3 linked regions of the Danio rerio genome follow. The protein of the gene in region 3 interacts with the protein of the main gene of each other region in a biochemical or structural test. Links are inferred from orthologs where the notes say so. Each region holds a gene or a part of one and is shown on either strand. Other genes may lie near its edges.

Region 1 (5,313 bases), on a different chromosome or scaffold from region 3:
CCATAGAGGTGGTTGTAAAGAGATAAACAACACTTGAGGTCAGGTCAAGACCTTATTCCCTTAACTGACGGTTATTGCTAATAAAAATAACTTGACACTTTTGCCCACAGACAAACGCTTCATGCAGTAAAAAGCAAGCAAAAAGATACAAAAAGAAAGGAAGGGAATAGAAAAGAAAAAAAGAAAAAAAAGAAAAGAAAAGAAAAAAGTTTCTCTCGTATCCACCGAGGCCTACTGACAACTGCTTCTTTGCATTGAGAACGTACAGTAGTTTGCATTAGAGAATCCTGTTGTCATTAACCATAAGCATCTCATTCACAATGCATTCTCAATTTGAAGGAAGATCTGTCTTCTCACACAAGGCCAAAGTAAGTATTATTTTTAACTTTGTCTTTTTCCCCTAAATAATAAGCCTTTTCCGGAGGCTGTTTTAAATATGAATGAGTGTATGAGAAAAAAAAAAGAAATCCCACTTGTCAACATGTGCTGCATTGAACTAATTACATGACAGAACTTTACAAGCAGATGTATTTAGTTATTTGTTATAAAAAGCTGTTCCTTGTTTTTGTTGCTGAGCTGTGTGATTGTTTGTGTAATAATTGAGTGAAGTGAGTTGAGAAAAGGAACATGATGAGCTCGAGTGGTCAGTGAAGCTCAAAGTGTGTGCAGGTGTTTCCTTTAAACACTAATAAATCAACTAGCGCCGCAGTTTCAGATGCTTACAGCACTTCTCAGCAGCCTAATTTTAAACTCAGATTTGAACAACAGCATCCTAGAAAGGAACTACATGTACTTACTGTAGCAATGTTTATATAAATTATACATTTACTGTTGTAAATTTCATGAAATTTGTAACTGAGAGTATACCAATAGAGATGCAGTATCAGTTTTTAAAAAGAAAAATCCATTGTTAAAATAAATGTCAGATAAATGAAAAATTATTTAAATCATGTGTCAATAGTCAAATCAATAAGACAAGTACAATTTGTGCTTAGTTATATTTAAAAACTGTTAAATAAACTAAAAAGAGTCTAAAAAGTATCAAATAAAATTGTAAAAGTACACATAAAAAGTCTAACAAAAATACAATCAAAGTAAATGTAGTTTTTAATTGCTTAAGCAATATACAATATTAGCACAAGTAAAAAAATGAACACTAATAAAATATAATGCAAATAAACGAAAAACTAAATAAAATAATAAAAAATAGTGTTAAATTATAAATGTTATAAAATAACATTATAATTATAATTATATATACATATATAATTATAAAAAATGTATGAAAATCAAAATAAATTAATTTAGCATTTAAATAAATAATTAAATTAAATGTAAAAAAATAAAACAAAATTGTTTTTAAAATAATCATTTTAATCATTTAATTTAATAATTATGATTTTATAAGAGATTTTAAATAAAATTAACATAAAACAAAATTAACAAAATCAATGTAATTTATTTGATAAAATGAGTTCATATGAATAAAAATAAATTAATAAAAAATTAAATGAAAATCAAAATGAACCAATTTTGGGTTTAAATAAATAAATAAATGAAATATAACAAAAAAAAATTAAAACAAAATTTTGTTAACAATTAGAATTTTAATAAATTAATTTAATAATTATTATTTTATTAGAGATTTTAAATAAACTAAATATAAATACAATTAACAAAATCAATTTAATGAATTTAATTTAAATAAATGAAATTAAATTAATTAAACATTTTTAGAAAATCTAAATGAATCAATTTGTTGTTTAAATAAATAATTAAATGAAATAAAAATATATGAAAACAACATTTAAATAAAATATAATGAATTCATTAAAAAAAAGAAAAAAATTATATATAAAAAAAAACGTTTTGATGCAATTTGGTCAATTCATTACTGAACATCACAAAAAAAAAAAAAAAAAAAACAGAATCAACCATTTGTTTGCTGCAGACTGTATGAAGAGGTATTGACCACTTAAGACGCTCATGTTTCACTTGATTTTAGAGAATCAACTTGTAACTTTCCAAAAAGTGCCAAGCTGAAACTTAAAATTCTTCTAGTGGTACAAAATTAGTGCGGCTTCTTCCTTTTGCGGTGACATCACTTGAAACTGTTGCTTTTATAAGGCAGCCCACTGAAGCAATTATCAGATGATCTCAGGAAGAAAAAAGAAAAGACTTTTGACCAGATATTAAACATTGTTGCATATCAGATGGGAAAATGTAAGTACAATTTCTAGATAAATAAACTATAGATTTACACATTTGACGTGTATTTTGATGCTGTATGCAAGATTCGTATTTATCGTAGGATAAATAATTAATGTACTGCAAAATGTACTGCAAAAGCTTGATGCATCATTTTTTTTTTTTAATTCAATTCAGAACAGGTGATTTATTCCACATTGATCATTGCAGTTTTGCAAGGCTATCTGTTCTGTAAAGTGACACGATTAATTTGCCTTTTACATTCAGACCGATATTTGCATGTTTGCAAGATGCAATAGTGGTTTATAATACCTCTTTGCCAGCTGTATTATACAGGTACCTCAGTTTTTACATTAAAAGTGTAAAGTAGCTGCTGCCATCAAGACAAGCACAGTAAGACTGAATGACTCTTGAATAGAGGCCTGTTATTTGGCCATTTGACCATAAAACCTCTAAATGATTTTTATTATTATTTTTTTTGTCGTCTGGCTTAAAAACCAATATTCAAAAATAATGAAGTATGATGTTATACTGTGTGATATTTATGAGATTTTATCAGAAACATCAGCTTAAAGCATACAGTTGAAGTCAAAATTAATAGCCCCTTTTGATTTTTTTTTTCTAAATGTTTCCCAAATTATGTTTAACAGGGCAAGATATTTTCACAGTATGTCTGATAATATTTTTTTTCTTCAGGATAAAGTCTTATTTGTTTTATTTTGGCAAGAATAATAGCAGTTTTAATTAAAAAAATAAATAAATAAAATTTCAATAGTCTAGCAAACTATCATTATACAATAACTTGTCTAATTACTCTAACCTGCCTAGTTAACCTTATTAACCTTTAAGCCTTTAAATGTCACTTTAAGCTGTATATAAGTGTCTTGAAAAATATCTAGTCAAATAATATACTGTCATCATGACAAAAAAAATAATTCAGTTATTAAAAATGAGTTATTAAAACTATTATGTCCAAAAAATCTGTTGAAAAAAAATCTGTTGAACAGAATTTGGGTGAACAATAATAATGGGCTAATAATTTTGACTTCAACTGTATATAAGTACACACCTCACAAATCTTTTTAATTCATATTTTTGATTGGAAGCTATACAATATTATATTTGTGCATATACATTAGATTAGTCAGGACTGAAGCCAAATCTGGAGCTTATCTCACAAAAAAAAAAAAACTTATGATAACAGTCTAAAAACCAGAACAGCCATATTTATGTTATATAAAAATATTAAATACAAATTTAAAAAAGAGGAGGAAAAATTGACATTTTGGTTGTAATTTTTTTTGCAATATATTTTTTTATTTAATTGTATTATCTTTCAATTTCTAAATATGTTTGGTGACTAAAATATTTTAATAAATATATACGTTTAATAAATCTATTTTGTTTAAATGCACCAAAATAAATTGCTCATATTTACTGAGAAATAGATAAAAATATTCATTGTCAAAATGGGGTGTACTCAATTATGCTGAACACCGGATAACATTATACCATTAATATGTAATCATAAGTAAAATATTATCAATGATAAGTATTCTACTTAAATAATAATAAGTATAAAATAAAATCATTTCAGGTAACTGGCAAGATATTGTATATTTTTCATTTTTTTATTTAGTTGATGAAGTATTAAATAAAAGTGTATTTTTATGTAATAATAATAATAATAATAATAATAATAATAATTATTATTATTATTATTATTATTATTATTGTTGTTATTGTTTTATTTTTATATTTACTTTATAAATAAATTTACATTTAATTAATTTATATAATAATAATAATTTATTTTATATTCTATTTATTTTACAAATATTTATTTTATTTATTACATTTCAACAACAGCTTAAGAATCATAGTTATAATAAAGTAACACTGGGGATTTAACAGACTACTATTATGTAATGGCGTGAGAATAACATATTTAAAATATAAAAGCAAACATTAATAAAACATAATATTATTAATGAATATTATACTGATATCATTATTTCAGAATATAATATTTAAAAACCCTTTTCCCTAGTAACTACTATAAAATATTTAAAATATAAAAAACATTTACGAGAATAAAACATAATGTTCTTATGTAATATTATACTGATATTATCATTATTTAAATATACTGTTAAAACATAACATTTAAATCTCTTTTCCTGCTATTGCCAAATCAGTACAAGTAGTAGAAAAAATACCAAAATAACACTGATTTTAAAAGATTTCAATTCAAAGCTTAAAGGATAAGATAAATAAAGATTACTGGAGTATGTTGAAGTATTTGAGTATGTTATATTTTTAACATTAAAATGTCATTAATATTCACACTAAACACACTATGTTCAATAAATCATGTCATGCGTGGCATTTCTTTGGACATTCTGCTTGAACTCGTGAGGTCAAGTGCACAGGATTCAAGAGTAAGAGTTATTACTGCTGATAGAACTCTCTGGAAATTTGAGAGCCATTTCAGAAAGCAGGCGGACTGTGGAGTGGCTTAAACTCGATATGCAAAACTGTTGAATTGCCCTCCTTCTGAAAGAAAAGCCTTTACAGCTGCGCAGCTTCCTCTTTCTGGGCTTTTTAAAGCGTGCTGTGCTTGAATTGCACAACTGCACAGGCCTCTTTACAATCATCTTTACATATTAGAGCACGACTTCTCAGTTCTCAGCAAATGCCCAAAACTCTGTTTGATTCTGTTGGAAATGCACCAATTGTATCTGTTCTGTGAGAGCATTTGCTGAAAGGATTGTTTTATTGTTTGCATTGTGACATTAATTAAAGATAAAAGGCCTGACGGGTTGTTTTGTTAGCGTTATAGAGGGTTACAGGTGGTTAGTAGTCGGCCTGTTCTAACAGAGACTGTGAACGTGTGATGAATGATGCAGAACAGGTTCATTACTGATTCATTATTTGGTGATTAAACATTGAGACTTTAGCCTTAAGAAGTAACAGTTGTGCATTAACGGGGTGTGGAGGTGTATGAGACTTTTATACAAACAACGTTCAGAAAAGACTTAAGGCGATATCATATTTTCACATTAAACATCACATTGAAGCATGAGTGACTCACTGAGCGCTTGA
Region 2 (5,313 bases), on a different chromosome or scaffold from region 3:
GCTGACCCTGGTTGATGAGGCCTCTGCTCTTGCTGGGCTCCTCTTTCCCGCTTGGTGTGTCCGTCTCTGAGCTCTTCCCTTCAGTCTCCGTCTGTGTCTGCGTCTCCTCCGGCTGGTGTTTGAGTGGAGAGACGCGTTTAACAGGACGGAATTTACTGTAGACGTCTGCGATACCGGTGGGTTTGAGTCCTGCACCGCTGTGAGACGCCGCACTACGAGGCCAGTTAATGGCCAGAGCTGAAAACACACAGAACAGAGAAAATCAAGAATGGATTAGAGGGTTTTCTTGGCTAGTTTTTAACATCAGAAGGCACTCTAGGCCAGTGATTACCAAAGTGAGGGTCACGAGACAACGACAGGGGGTTGCTTGGGGATTTCCAAAAGTTAAATAAATTTTATGAAACTATTCGAATGACTATATTTTATCCAAAACAAACAGAAGATAACAACAGTTGTTAATAGTTACATATAAAAAAAACAACAACACGCAAATAAAAAGCCATCAGCCTGTACATTTCATAGGATTAGTGTTTACACGTCAGATTAATAACTCAGCAATAGCGTCAGCTGCAGCATGTTGATTTTATAGCAGCAGGTTAAACTTTCTGACAGCTTGATGGCAAATCAAATACATACAAATAAATACAGGCCACAACTGAACATTGAGGATGATCATCGAGTGGCGGTCTTTAAAATAAACCAAGAACAGACGTGTGCTGAAAACATTGTTCCCACTAGCAGAGGTCTGCACGGGGCTGATTTTTCAGTCCTGCTCCCGTGTGCACATTCACGTTATCTAATATGTAACATATGGTGCTCTGTGGCACAGCAGAAACACGAACACTGTCCAGAGTCTTATATGGGACAGCTGCCGACTTGCAGCTGCTGTACCTCTAGTCACTAGTAGAGAAGAATGCAGACCTCTACCCACTAGTCTCCTTAGGTGAAGTTAATAATAAATCAAATTAATAAATGACATTGAAATTATATGGTTGTTAGACTGTGTTGCACTTATTTGTGTTGTCATTACGCTCATATTTATATAGGTCTATTGCCGTGTGCGCAACATTTATATATTTATTACCACCTCAGAAGATAGGGGGCAGCAGATGAAGCGCAAGGCTAGTTTTTAATAGTGCTGTAAGCTAGTTTTAAACAGCAGATAGCGCTCAAGGCTAGTTTTTAAAGGGTCACGAAACACCAAAACACATGTGTTTAAGCTGTTGACAGTGGTATATGTGTCCCACACTGCTAAAAACACTATTAGGACACCTATATCTCACTAAAAAGTGTAAATTGGATGTTTTTGCGTTATTTTAAGCAAATTCGTACTTCCTGTTTGAAACTAATTTTTGAAGCTGCATCACGGTCATGACATAATAGCGTGTATTCCAGCGTGCAGACTGGACGTCTGTGCCAGAGTGTGTCTTATTACGTCTTACAGTGTGCTGCATTAATGCATGAGTAAAGCTTGGTTCAAACCAATCAGCGCGCTCTATTGTGCAGCTTCATTAATATTCATTACTGTCACAGACGACAGAGACGCCACGTTGTGTTGGCAAAACAAGCGTGAAGTGTTGCTTTTATAGTTTGCTGCAGTGAAGTTTTGTTTTCATTTTCTCTCTGTGAGAGCGCAGCTGGAGTCACGTGTGGATTAACAGTGTACGCGACGCTCGACAACAATAACTTACGTGTCTAAGGAGGATTATTGTTTACCTGAGAGCTGTTCTGATCTGCAAATGCTGAGATCCGGATTCGCTTGTAGTCTCCTCTTAATAAAGACGCGGCTCTAGTTGCTGGTGATTGTCCTGTCTCTACAGATTTGGTAAGTGAGCGACCAGTGCTCTTTGTTTATTCATTTCGTATTTTATTCATATCGAACAAACTATTGCACCGAGTGTAAACAAGTTAGCTTTACAACCAAACTATAACCTCATGTAGGATTTAGTGACCGGAATAACACACGCGGCTTTCTGACACTACCTGCCGAGTGCATTTAAGTTTCCGGGAAATGCTGAAGGTTTTTTTCTGTCATTCGCCGTGTGGTATCAAACATTGCCTGAAAATACACGCTTAGAGCAGCTCCTCGAATCAAATATCTCGTTTGTCGCGAGGGGCATGAATGAATTCCCTGAATGAAAGAGCCAAACTGCAGTTAAAGTCCACCATTTAATCATTTGTCAAATAATTCGACTACAGACGTCCATGTAAACAGTCCCTTTCTCCCCTGTTGGGTGTGTGTTTTGACTCTGAAACTTGCGCGTGCCCAAATAGACACTCCCACACCAAGCCTCTTTTCTTCCTCCGACACTCCCCCCTAAACAGAGCTGGACACGCCCACTTTTCTGACTTTTTCCAAAGTAGAGGTGTGAAAACACCCTGCTGAAACAAGAGGGTTTCATGGCCCTTTAATAGGGCTGTCTGTAAAGCAGAGCGCCATCTGCTGGTGAAACTATAAACAAGTGTGTGAATGAGCGCAGTACCTTGTCTCTCGTCGTTCTGTCCATCATGTCTCCGGCACAGTTCAGGAATGCTCTTAGATGAGTACTGTACAACACACACACACACACACACACACATTAGGAAACACTGCTATCAGTTTAACTTCAGCACTGCACATGTAAACATTTACAGTACACTTTAACAAGTCAAACAAAGCAGTTTATCTAGATCAGGGTTTCAGGGATTGACGGAAAGCTAATAATTTATTGATAAAACTTTAATTATATAATAGTAAACAATAATAGCTTGAAATAATCAAAATAAAATATATACTAAAAATGAAAACTCTAAATTTACGATAAATAAAACGTCCTAATATGTATTCAATCCAATATGAAATAAGCAAAATCAAAGCAAAAACACTAACCCAAATATTAAATATATGTTTTTGTTGAGCTTTAACAGATAATCATGAATATGTAAATATAATGATGTGACTAAAAGCATTAAAGTATTTTCGATTTTTAAAACAGCTGCTGATGGAAAATAGTAAATAATCGCTGACCATGTAAATAACCACGAGTACATGAAATCTGCTTTATAATAATAATAATAATAACCTGATAATAATAATTAGCAGTTACAGTATAATGAACATGATTTGGATTATGGGATGCAAATCTACTCAACTGTGCATCTGCCATTTTTAAATATAATCTGCATATTTCATAAGTACTCACAGGTAAATCATCAGTGAAGTCAATCTCATCCAGATCCAGATATTCAGGAACGTCCATCTTCAGTCAGCATGCTGAAAAACACCAGATTATTACCAATCGACAATCAATAACTGATCCACACTTTATCATTACACAAACTGCAACTGCTGCATCAGTGTGACATCATTCTGAGCCATGCGGCGGGGCTTCAGCTCAACCCACATCGGATTGGACAGTGGACGTGAAAGTGGGCGTGGTTACAAAAGACTATATAAACTTATTGAAATAAAAACATGATGTTGGTATAGAGTAAATTTAGTATGTTTTGCTACAGCTAAATGCTTCAGATTTAAAGTTCATCTTCATCAAGTGATGATGCCAACCACAGAGCACTTCTAGAGGTCTCCATAATCCTGGACCAGGCCGTATCCTGAGCTGCTGCTGTGGTGGTCATGGAGGAGTGGAGAGCATGAGACTGATTCCTGAAAGACCTCAGTGACAGACGAGTGTCCGCATTGATCCTGAAGGGCCGGCCTGAACACTAGCCGGTGACCTCTCCCACCTGCAGCTTCTCCACGATGGATGTCCAGCGCTCTCCAGCCTCCGGCGCCTAGACTGCAGCTCTGCACAAGAAGTCTGGCCAGAGGAGAAATGGTCGTGCCCAACTGAGCCTGGTTTCTCTCAAAGTTTCTCTCCTTCACTTTGGTCAGTTGGTGAAGTGTGTTCCTCCACTCCTCCTGCTTGGTTTGGGTCTTGTGGAGCTGTGCATGGATGGATTTGATCTTCAGTTTGGACTCTCAGCAGTGAGGATTAAACCACACTGAACTTTAACTCTGAACACTGTTTGAGTTTACTATAATCTTCTGTGTTCAGCTGCTGACACAATCTACACCAAAGGTCTTAAGCTGGATTCCAGGGGCCTGTTTCAGAAAGGAGGTTAAGTGAAAACTCCGAGTATTTTAACCCTGAAATGAGAGAAACTCTGGGTTTTCCGTTTCAGAGTGGCAGGTTTGTTAAACTGGAGAATGCAGGGTAAGTCAAGCCTGTTTCTGAAAGAAAGGTAACTTCAACTCAGAGTCAGTTACTGTGGTCACTTACAATGTGAATCTAACCTGGTCAGGAGCAGGTTTTATTCTCTAAACTCAGAGTTTCTGTCGGTCTCCTCCCCTTTTTTCAGATTTAATATAAGTCTTTTGCGTCTCTAGAATGTGTATATAAAGTTTCAGCTCAAAATACCCATCAGATTTTTCATTATACCTTTTACAAGATGCTGTTTTATACACATTTCCAGCAGGGGGTGGTTTTGTTGTACTGCGCCTTTAAGCCGAGTTCTGCCCGCCTACTGTTTCTACGTGCCTTCCCACATGCTTTAATCTCCTCCCTCGGCTGCGTCAGACAACAGACAGACTTAAAGGAAGCAGGTCTCACGAAGCGTTTGTGAGATACTACAGTAAGAACTAACCCTTACTAATCAGAATTTGTTGTGAAGTTGCATTGATGAGTCACACACAATATCATTACAAAGTTCATGCGCGCACACACACACACACAGAGATACACACGCACACCGCAGCTGACACACACACACACACACGCAGGCAGGCAGGCAGATAGAGCGCTCTTAGCACTGTTTATGCACTCAAGTGTGTCAGGATACAGGCTAACCTCCAGTACTGTGTGGATATCTGTTATGCTAATGTACAAAATAAACCTGATTTAACTTCCACAAACCGGGATTGAAGCTTCTTCTTTTATAATTGTTCTGACACGCGGCTGTGCTGATGCAGTAAAGCTGAAGTAAAACGCTGTAATTAATTACACACATACTCTGTTTTAAAACACTTTAAACATGTGAAACTTACTCTTAATCACATTTGATGATGATCGCTGATCCTAGCGGCCAGAACAGACCTTTTATTCCCGGTTGCTTTGCGTATGTCTGTCTGGTCTTGTTGACATATACACGCGACTACCGGAACATGTTAATGCGCGCAGCTGTCAATCACTTCGGTGGGCGGGGGGATCGCACTCCTACATAAAGTTGCGGTGGGTTTAAAACCGCTCTAATTGGTCCACCATTTTTATGTTGTTAAATTGAAAAAAAAGGACTGAGTGTGTTTATATCACCCCAATATGATGGGCTATACACTAT
Region 3 (3,600 bases):
CAAATGAGATGGTTCCCTTTTCAAAAGAGGGTCAGCAACAAACACATAAAAAGTGATTTTTGCATAACAGACCGCCTTTTAATCACAGACACACCCTTATAACGCAAGTGCTAAGGTGGGTTTATACTAGCATTACACAATCCATATGAATCCAGTTCATTTCCCCCACCTACTGGCTGCTCAAGTTAGATAGTTTCCTCTCTATGCAACCTCCACTTTTCAGGTTACATAACTAAAACATCCACTTTTGCTTTTTTCAAGAACACATATTCAAGAAAATATTAAAAACTGAACCAGCTGCATCAGATCTTTCAGCATTGTCGAACTACAGCTGCCTTATTGAATCATGTCTTTTAATCATATTCGACTTCGGTGTTTGAGATCCAATCATTGAGCTAATAGTACAACCATTTTATAGAAAAATGACTATCTTTAAAAGCTGATTAACACAACAGTAACAAATGTATTATTATTATTATTTGTTTTCTTTTTATTAACACATGAGTCAGTGTTGGTGAGATACAAATTTAATTTTTTTTTTATTATCTAAATAGTGTTTCCAATAATCATTCATTCATCTTGTTTTCAGCTTATTCCCTTTATTAATCTGGGGTCACCACCACAGCGGAATTAACTGCCAACTTATCCAGTTTTCCCAATTCACCTATACCGCATGTCTTTGGACTTGTGGGGAAACTGGAGCACCCGTAGTAAACCCACTCGATCATGGGGAGAACATACAAACTCAACACAGAAATGCCAACTGACCCAGCCTATACTCGAAACAGCAACCTTCTTGCTGTGAGGTGATCGTGCCATCGTGATGCCTTGCAATAATCAAATGTTAATAATACTTTATGTAGAAATATAATATATAAATACCCAATTTATATGGGAAAAATCTTGGAACGTTGTAAATTTATATTGAGCAACTTTATTACATTTTCAATAATGTAATAACATTTATTTATTGCATTTTTACTTTTTCTATATTTTTTATCATTTGTTTTAAGCTACAACTTGCATTTGTTTTTTTAATCTACTGTTAATTAATTGTTTTATTAAATTTAGATCACTTGTTAAAATCATATTTCAGTTTTTTATTTATTGTTTTAAAATCCTATGATATGTAGTTTATTTTTATCCAGTTTTATTCAATTTTTGTTTTATACCAAAGTGCTAATTTGTCTAAATAAAATATTATATTCTTATAACTCCTAATCTGAGGACAGTACTTCTTCCATCTGTGTGTTGTTGGCCCAACGTTGTTCTCCTTCCCGCGTTCATGTGTCTGAAGCGCGTTCGCGTATCCTTGCAGCGCCGTTCCCGTGAAAATATATTTCAACAGCTTCAGTCAGTGCGCGACACCGAGACTGCCGGGCGACAGCAGCGTCTCTTTTTAGCGAATGTGGAAACACAAACAACCAAACGATTAACGGACATATAACCTAACGCTGCCCGACGTGTGGTGAATTATTTTTTACAATTAATTCGTTTGGCAGCAGAGGGATATTTTCTGGAGGTAAGTGCAATGTTTAAATCCTCCACTCGAGGATAATGGATCTGTTGTTGATTTTACTAGGCTTAGCGAGCTAGCTAGCTTAAAAAGCGGCTAGCCGACCATGCTATCAACAATTTTACTGCATTCCTCAGCAAAACACATCTTGTGAGTTCATTTTTTTCTTTAACACAATGTGATTCGCTGTGTGGTTCTTATCCAGTAACAAAATGCTTTTTAAATATTTTAAACGCCGATATATGGTCCATGTAGCCATTATTAGCCTGCCTTTGCTAGCTTTATATGCTTGTGCTAAGTGAGAAACACTGTTTATGTGACGAAATCAAATGTAATGCAACCAGTGCAGTGTTTTCCAATCGTAATTAGCGTATGTGTGCAGACGTGTTATTTCTGTTTATATTTCAGTCCTAAGATTAAGACCTCGTTTATTGTCAACGGATCATTTTTGACTGTTTCTAGCCATACAGAGATGGCTTGACTGACAGAAACTGTATTAGTTTGCGGTGCAAAAGCAGCCTCACATTATAAAAGTTAACTTGAACACAGAGACCGATACCAACATGTGCTACAGAAAACATTTTATCACTGGTTATGGTCAATATAACATATGGTGGTGTTGATTTAGAAGTCAGCCCAAAAGAAAAACATGCATAACGTTAAGGCTAACCATCAGCCGACACTGTGTGTAGGGTCGACACGATCAGATCGAGCATGTTACAGTAAAATCATCAGATGTGCTTGTGCATGTGACACCTAAAGGAGCTTAATGTCGTGAATGCTACACATGGGATTTATTTTAAGCTTTCGTGCTCGCAGACGCCTTGAACTTGGCTGCTCGATCACCACTCCGATTTGTTTACAAAGCGGCTGCAATTCGCCATGGAGATCCTATGCTTACATCGTTGTTGCGACTCAATTAGACGGTACTGTTTTTGTTGTTCTTTATCCTTAAGGATCCGTTTTAGCACCTCCCCTATCAATTACAGTAAACGAGGTTAAGTTGCAGGTGGTTGAAGCAATAGCTAGATAGGATAGGGTCAAATCCCTTCTGTAACTAACCCTGTTGTACTAAAGGTAATCTTGTTGTGAAGATGTTTTGATGCATAAATGATGCAATTTCGTGGATGTGACTTTTGCAGTAATATCTTAAAACTTAAATTTACATAGAAAGTATATGTTAACATTATATCGAAACATCTGTTTATATTTTCCAAAACAGCTCACCACTGAGATATGGGAGCAAAAAATATCAATCTGTAATTAAAAAAAAATTTAAATGAGCTAAATAAACATACGTTTTGGATCTGACTAAAGAAGTCTGCAAGTTTACAGTATACAACATTCTTTATAGAAATTCTGTGAATGAAACGGCACAACCCCAAAGAAACAATGCTAATCACAAGGAGAAGAGTTGGCTTAATGTAGAACAAAAATTATTGATTTTATTTTACATTTTTGCATTTATGAAGAAAGAGCTTCGTTATGAATATGACATTTCTCAATTATGGATGTGATGGATGTGAAATTAGCACTTGTGTGACTTTGGTTAATCAAATATAATTGTTGAAAAACATTGACAGAAAGATTTTTAATGTGTTTTTTACTATGCAGTAAAATACAGGCCTACACAAACATAGAAAGGGGTTCACTACTTTGGTGAAAACATAATTCATTTTTAATGGCAAGGTTAACATTTGCATGAAATTGTTCAAAATAAATCCAGGTTTTTAGAAAAGCTTATTTTTAAAAAGAACTGCTGAATGTTAGAAATGTCATGAGGTTAAACACATTTTTTTTTTTTTTGGTTTCATCCTTGTCCAGGTGCTTGGTAATGCAATCCTTCACCTTCATTTGTGAGGTGTGAGGAGAATGAACTGTATACATATTATGTTTGGAAGCATTCTTCACAACGTTTTTTGTTATTATTGTTTATAAGCTCTTCATATACAAATGTAGGCTCTCTGGCGGGATCTTTTTATGCTTACAAGCACAGAATGACTTAAATATGTCTTTAACTATTATATATATATATATATATATATATATATATATATATATATATATATATATATATATATATA

Evidence for each region.
Region 1: the proteins of siah1 (region 3) and pou2af1 form a complex in vitro, tested with the Homo sapiens proteins (2 studies listed by BioGRID). The link is inferred for Danio rerio from reciprocal best matches to the Homo sapiens genes SIAH1 and POU2AF1.
Region 2: the proteins of siah1 (region 3) and sncaip form a complex in vitro, tested with the Homo sapiens proteins (2 studies listed by BioGRID, with this or other methods). The link is inferred for Danio rerio from reciprocal best matches to the Homo sapiens genes SIAH1 and SNCAIP.

Annotation. Positions count from the first base shown.
Region 1 is NC_133190.1:20,245,452-20,250,764, reverse strand, and holds the start of pou2af1 (POU domain class 2-associating factor 1), read left to right. Parts: upstream 1-1,813; 5' UTR 1,814-2,213; coding exon 2,214-2,223; intron 2,224-5,313. UniProt on the Homo sapiens protein: Transcriptional coactivator that specifically associates with either POU2F1/OCT1 or POU2F2/OCT2. It boosts the POU2F1/OCT1 mediated promoter activity and to a lesser extent, that of POU2F2/OCT2. It recognizes the POU domains of POU2F1/OCT1 and POU2F2/OCT2.
Region 2 is NC_133183.1:458,874-464,186, reverse strand, and holds the start of sncaip (synphilin-1), read right to left. Parts: upstream 3,256-5,313; 5' UTR 3,240-3,255; coding exon 3,183-3,239; intron 2,548-3,182; coding exon 2,484-2,547; intron 238-2,483; coding exon 7-237; intron 1-6. UniProt on the Homo sapiens protein: Isoform 2 inhibits the ubiquitin ligase activity of SIAH1 and inhibits proteasomal degradation of target proteins. Isoform 2 inhibits autoubiquitination and proteasomal degradation of SIAH1, and thereby increases cellular levels of SIAH.
Region 3 is NC_133193.1:19,824,810-19,828,409, forward strand, and holds the start of siah1 (E3 ubiquitin-protein ligase Siah1), read left to right. Parts: upstream 1-1,356; 5' UTR 1,357-1,522; intron 1,523-3,600. UniProt on the Homo sapiens protein: E3 ubiquitin-protein ligase that mediates ubiquitination and subsequent proteasomal degradation of target proteins.